Xenopus tropicalis: one gene and its partner. The protein of the gene in region 2 interacts with the protein of the main gene of each other region in a pairwise test. Links are inferred from orthologs where the notes say so. Each region holds a gene or a part of one and is shown on either strand. Other genes may lie near its edges.

Evidence for each region.
Region 1: the proteins of shfl (region 2) and tns2 interact in binary tests that used the Homo sapiens proteins (3 or more experiments, as listed by UniProt). The link is inferred for Xenopus tropicalis from reciprocal best matches to the Homo sapiens genes SHFL and TNS2.

Annotation. Positions count from the first base shown.
Region 1 is NC_030678.2:147,616,153-147,620,484, reverse strand, and holds the start of tns2 (tensin-2), read left to right. Parts: upstream 1-1,478; 5' UTR 1,479-1,558; coding exon 1,559-1,633; intron 1,634-4,332. UniProt on the Homo sapiens protein: Tyrosine-protein phosphatase which regulates cell motility, proliferation and muscle-response to insulin. Phosphatase activity is mediated by binding to phosphatidylinositol-3,4,5-triphosphate (PtdIns(3,4,5)P3) via the SH2 domain.
Region 2 is NC_030679.2:136,804,541-136,807,165, reverse strand, and holds the end of shfl (shiftless antiviral inhibitor of ribosomal frameshifting protein homolog), read left to right. Parts: intron 1-309; coding exon 310-458; intron 459-785; coding exon 786-1,006; 3' UTR 1,007-2,063; downstream 2,064-2,625. Other genes in the region: angptl6 (angiopoietin-related protein 6), read right to left, coding at 2,492-2,625.

The DNA of each region.
Region 1 (4,332 bases), on a different chromosome or scaffold from region 2:
GTGATACAAGTCTCATGAATGAACATTTGTGTGGCCCTTACTTTATATCCAGTGCACCTCCAGCTGGGGATTGGCTGACGTGCCAATAAATGGTGTAACAACTGCAATAATTGGGAGACAGGAGAAATCATTAAATCTGCTGGAAGTGGAGCAAGTAAATGACAATAATACTTGGGGCTTAAGCAGACAGTAAAATGTACTAATGTACAAACTAGACCAAAAATAGACATTATTGCCAAAAAAAACCAAATCTTTCTGGGGTTTATTGCACAAGTCCAGAAAAATAGGTGGCTGGAAGCACATCTCAAGGGCTGGCTGAGCACAGCGGGGAATACTGGAGGTAGAGACCCAGATATTGCAGAAAATGGACAATGAACACATTAACCCTAGATATGCTAGTTAGATCACTGCAGAAAATAGATTGAAAGCTGCAAACTTGTCTTCTCCTGCCCTCTCTCTGTTGCCATGCTGCTTTCCATGCACTGCAATAGCTGACATGGATGTATCAAAATTAAAGACAGCTGTGTTCCACACCATCTATCAAAGGAGAGAAAGATCTTCAGAGATCAGGGGGAAAGAGCCAAAGAATGGGGCAACGCAGGACATTTAAAGAGAGATCAGGGACAGTGGGCTGTGCTGCTAGTAAACCAGACAGTTGGGGGGTACGCAGGCAGGGGGAGTCCAATGTGAAACTCTTAGGGGCACATTTACTAATGCACAAATCCAAATCCCGAAGGGAAAAAATTGGATTGGAAATGAAAATTTTGCGACTTTTTCGTTGCCGTCGCATTTTTTTTGTATTTTGCGCAATTTTTTCATCGCCGTCACAACTTTATCGTATTTTGCGTGACTTTTTCGTTGCCGTCGCGATTTTTTCGTATTGAGCAATAGTAAACGGCGGAAAAACTAATCCGATTTTTTCGTGACGGTGAGGAAAAAGTTGCGGAAAATATACGATAAAGTTGTAACGGCGACGAAAAAATCATGGGACATAGGAAAAAGTCGCGACGGCGACGAAACGTTGCAAAAGTACCGATCATTACGAAAAAACGCACCCCATAGATTTGCCAGTTTTTGCCCTGAGCATGAAGGCAAGGTTAGGCACCTGCTTTAGCTGGCACTTTATTTCGGCCACATCTGGTAACTCTAGTTGTTCCTGAATGCAGAGCTTAGTTTTGCTTTCTGCATTAATAATCCAGCTCCAAAGTGCCAGAGAGGTATGCCCCATGGGTAGAGTACCAGCCTGGCAGGTAAAGCGATGCTTCATGCCAATGTTATTAACAGAGAAAAAATATCAAATGAATGCCGGTATTTTTTCCCAGAAAAGGGGAAACTATAAAACATATAAAAGAAAAATCAAATTCTCTCCGATACCGATATCGCTGCCCTCCTGAGCCAAAGCCGCGTATCTGTAAGCGCAGGTCCCGCCCACTGCTCCTGGGCCCGCCCCGGGGGAGGGGCTTGTCGGTAGCTCCCCAGCGCTCACACACGGGGGTTTGTTTTGCTGCGCGGCGGCAGCAGGTAGTTGTGCCCGGGACGTGTCATGTAATTGTGCTGCATGGGCTGTGCGGGGAGTTGTGCGCGGCCGGGACACACAGCTGGGCGCACCGACAGGACCATGCGTCTGACTGAGGTAGGATACTGGGGCCGCTTGTTTGGTACATTTGCTCTGCTATTCGCTATCCCCAAGCCATGAAACTTTGTAGTGATGGAAGGCGAGTGGCACGAAAAGCACAGAGACTTAATCGCACCACAGGGCTACAACTTGATTCATCTCCTTAGTACTAGGGACTTGGCCTGTCAGCACCGAATGGGTTAATGACACGTTCCATCTGATGAGACAAGCGATCCCCCTGCTGTTACAGGGGAGCCCCCAGCATCTTTACTGGCACCGTGTGCCCCTGCCTGGCATGGACCCGCTACTGGCTGCATTGGTACCGGGCATGGTGCCACCGGGATGCAGTTATTAGGCGCCCACTAATTAGGGTTGGTCCCCATTCTTGCCCGGGATTGCGCTTCCCTTCGGCAGTAATTGGGGCACAGTAATAGGTATGTGCCAGTCCTGCGTGTCTGTTCTGCATTAGGGCTGCCTGCTTCTTACAGCTTGCCGGGCACAGGGGTACATAGAGCAGTGCCGGGCACAGGGGTACATGGAGCAGTGCCGGGCACAGGGGTACATGGAGCAGTGCCGGGCACAGGGGTACATGGAGCAGTGCCGGGCACAGGGGTACATGGAGCAGTGCCGGGCACAGGGGTACATGGAGCAGTGCCGGGCACAGGGGTACATGGAGCAGGCCGGGCACAGGGGTACATGGAGCAGTGCCGGGCACAGGGGTACATGGAGCAGTGCCGGGCACAGGGGTACATGGAGCAGTGCCGGGCACAGGGGTACATGGAGCAGTGCCGGGCACAGGGGTACATGGAGCAGTGCCGGGCACAGGGGTACATGGAGCAGTGCCGGGCACAGGGGTACATGGAGCAGTGCCGGGCACAGGGGTACATGGAGCAGCGCCGGGCACAGGGGTACATGGAGCAGCGCCGGGCACAGGGGTACATGGAGCAGTGCTGGGCACAGGGGTAAATGGAGCAGTGCCGGGCACAGGGGTACATGGAGCAAGCAGTGCCGGGCACAGGGATAGAGCAGTGCCGGGCACAGGGGTATATAGAGCAGTGCGGGGCACAGGGGTATATAGAGCAGTGCCGGGCACAGGGGTATATAGAGCAGTGCAGGGCACAGGGGTATGTGGAGGGAGCAGTCCCGGGCACAGGGGTATATAGAGCAGTGCAGGGCACAGGGGTATGTGGAGGGAGCAGTGCGGGGCACAGGGGTACATAGAGCAGTGCGGGACACAGGGGTACATAGAGCAGTGCGGGGCACAGGGGTATATAGAGCAGTGCGGGACACAGGGGTACATAGAGCAGTGCAGGGCACAGGGGTATGTGGAGGGAGCAGTGCGGGGCACAGGGGTACATAGAGCAGTGCGGGGCACGGGTATGTGGAGGAGCAGTGCGGGGCACAGGGGTACATAGAGCAGTGCAGGGCATAGGGGTACATAGAGTAAGCAGGGCAAAGTAATATACCATGCAAGCAGTGCACAGCCACAGGGGCACACAGGGCAGGGAGCTGGCAGGAGGATCCGTAGACTGACAAAATTACCTAAAATGGTTTGAGAGAGAGAGAAAGTCAGAGAACAGTGGCTCATTCATTAGGTAAAGTAAGGTGTTTAATGATCATGAGACGTGCCAAACCCTGCTGCGCCCACCCATCCCCAGGGGGTCTCTATCTGCCTCTGCCCCCCTCTCTCTCCCCGGCTCCAGTTCACATCCCAGCAGGGGTAGCTTGGGACTCTGGATTCATGGAATTTCACTGAATTCTCTCCTTGTCTATTGCTTAGGGCCAATGGGCAAGAATGTATCGAGGATAAAAACTTTGTAAAGTGCTGTATATTTCAGCTCCCCTCACCCCTACACAGTGCTCTAAGCGCCAGACTGCTAGTGCTGTAGTGTGATGCCCAGTGTTTGTGTCAGTATGAGCAAATCCTCCAAACTTCATTCCTATTGGATAATAAATGTTACATCTTTAGTCTAATGTTATTTATGCACTCAATAAACTATCATGGAAGGAACATGACAAACCCAACTGCTACCCAGATTAATGTGCAATTTCACTCTATGGTTGCACCTTTATGTTTTGGGGTCCCTAAAAAGATTTGAGTTCATGTAGTTTCTATATAAGCCATTGCTATAATGGATGGACACATAATATTTGGTAACTAAGAAATATATGGGTTTATTGGAACGATTGTAGCTATAGGAATCACAGTGACATTACTGTTTGTACTCCTTTGCAGTTGAGCATGTGAAAGAAAGTTAGCTGCTAACAGAAATTCCATAAGAAAGTTTTTGTTGATGCAGATGCCTTAAAGGACAACTAAACCCTAAAAATAAATATGTTTAAAAAAGTCATATTTTATATACTGAACTTATTTCCATACTTTATATACTGAACTTATTGCACCAGCCTAAGGTTTCAGCATCTCAATAGCAGCAATGATCCAGGGCTTCAAACTTGTCACAGGGGAAGTGTCAGTGACACTGCACATGCTCAGTGTGCTCTGAGCATCTATTGAGAAGCTGAGCCTTGGAGTCATCACAAATTTTCAAGTAGAAAATGAGGTTGGTCTATCATATAAACTGATGCTACAGGGCTGATTATTAAATTCTGATGCTAACTGCACTGGTTTATAAGCTGCCATGTAGTAATTATCAGTATTATTTACTAATCAGCCTTATATTGTGACATTTATATTCTATATATACAGGATATTGTGA
Region 2 (2,625 bases):
TACTAAAAGCTGATGTGAAGGTGAACCACCCCTTTAACAAACAGGGGTTATTAACAAACTAGGGTTGCAGAATAATAAATAGGACCAAAAGGGTCCTGCTCGAAAGAGCTTCCAATCTTATGTACAAAGATGGCTGCTCCCTCCCTGATCAGTTTCATGAGTCAATCACTTATGTTTTCCTTGCATGTTCTGTGGCTCAGCACAAGAATATATTATAGAATATATACTATAGATGACATTATGATACGTTGGTGTGCCTCCCATACAGACTTATGCTACTTCTCTAATTTCTGTCTGTCTTTTCCCTAGGGGTTTCGGGCAGATAGAAGTCAGCAGTCCGTGTTATGTGTGTAGAAACCCTGTGCTGCCCAGCTGTATCCTCCCACCTCGCCGGAACCAAGGCCCTCGAACCCGCAATACTCACAGCTGTTTAGCCGAAAATTGTTACAACCGAAGAGGTGAGTAGGATTCCACAGGGGGAGGAAGGAGAGATATTGCAAGGGGTGGGCTCTATTTACCAAGCACGTCCTTCTAAGCTGGCCATACACAGTCTGACAGTAGATGCCAATATGGCCAGTGTTTATAGGTCCAACTCATAAGCCCGCCAACGGTTCACCACATCAGGCTGTTGATGCAGTTTTACCCCAAAGGACCATTTGGGATCCCATTGGCTTGGGAATGAATGACTGGATCAGCCCACTTTAGCTTATGGCCATATCGGCCACTCATTTGGTGAATCTTTACAGCCATAGCCAACTCTGATCTCTTTAATGCCCTCCTTGCAGTACCCTTCGTTGCTGGCCTGCAGTGCGCCCATCCAAAAAGCCGAATCATGAACCAGCTCCCCAAAGTGCTGCACCCCAGTGAGCCCCACATCAGTACAGGCTCCACCATAGCAACCTGCCTGAGCCAAGGGAGTCTGACCGAAAACGATATTGATGACATCATACTGGACGATATCAAGGAGGAGGAAGAGGATGAGGGAAGTGATGACAGTGATGGCTAAGGACACGTGTTTATTAGGTACCCGCTGGCCGAGCGTAAGTGGAGAGTGGCTTGGCCAGACCGAGACCAAAGCCCAACACTGTCAGAGCCTCTCCATATAACCTGTAGGCCACTGGCTTGCTTCTGTTTAATACTTATCTCTCTCCTGGCTGCAGATTAGAACATACTCATTTCTATTTCAGTTCCTGTAATTTCAGTTTATCAGTGTACCTAGTGCAGACGAAAGCTGAGTCACATTGGCTTAGCCAGCAGAAGTGTAGGGACTACGTTCCCATAGTGCCTTAATCTTTTTCACAAGTAACCAGAACTGGTCCATACAACTCACACTTCATATATCCTTCACCAGCAGGACTTCATACTCGTCTTAAAGCTTCATTTGCTCCATATATTTATCAATATAATCTTTTACTTTAAAGCCTTATCCTGCTCCACAAAGTCCTCTTGGCTCTCCATGTAAGCCTTCCCTATAGACCTTGTTGCTGCAGATATTTCCTATCTATAACCCCTCCCTATAACTCCTCCTATTGCTCCATATAACCCTTCCCTATAACTCCTCATATTGCTCCATATAACTCCTCCCTATAACTCCTCCTATTGCTCCATATAACCCCTCCCTATACCTCCTCCTATTGCTCCATATAACCCCTCCCTATAACTCCTCCTATTGCTCCAATTAACTCCTCCTATTGTTCCATATAACTCCTCCCTATCACTCTTCCTATTGCTCCATGTAACTCCTCCTATTGTTCCATATAACCCCTCCTTATTACACTTCTGGTCAAACTCCTCCTACTTCTCAAAATGACACTTGATTTAGGTGCCTGTAGCAGAAGCCAGAGTTAGACATGAATGTAGCACTTATTGCTTTTAGCAGATTTGCGTCTGCATCTTTTGCTGCAAAAAAAGCATTGGCACTTAAGCCCCCTATAAGGGTCACTTTCCATTTCAGTTTCTCTTTTTTGAAGATGTATATATTTGAAAAAAAAAATTGTTCTTGCTATCTTAACGTGTTTTTCTGAAATGCAAAGATTTTTCAGAATAAAAAAAAAAAAAAATAAGACTCGAAAACTCGATTGACCTTTATCTGAAACCATGAAAAGAGATAAAAGATTCATATATGGAAAATGATGATACATGGGATTTACAGTGTATATAAACTCTTTATTATACATACATGGCAATGACCATTATAAGATGATCCTGAGCAATGGATCAGTGCTAGGGTTACCCCCACCCTCTTATTAAAACCTCACACATATACTGTATCTACATCGCACTTGCCCAATTAACACTGCTGCAGCCTGCACTGGTTTTTGCATCAGATCAATAGCCATTGAAAACAGATGTTAAAGGGGGTATGTGTGTGTGTGAGAGAGCAGAGATGTCAAGTGATCCCATATCATTGGGGGTAATAGAGATCCGCTTTTTTGAGGCCTTATTTCATGCCATAGGGTTACTTGATGTCTGTGCAGGGTGAGTCTAGTCATTATACATTTGGTTTGATCATCATGGACACCTTCTTAAGAGAGTAGGCACCACCGCGAAATTCAGCCCAATACACTCCATCTTGGTAGCGGCTCCGGTAATGGCCTCCCCGGTACCATATCCCATTGAGGTTGG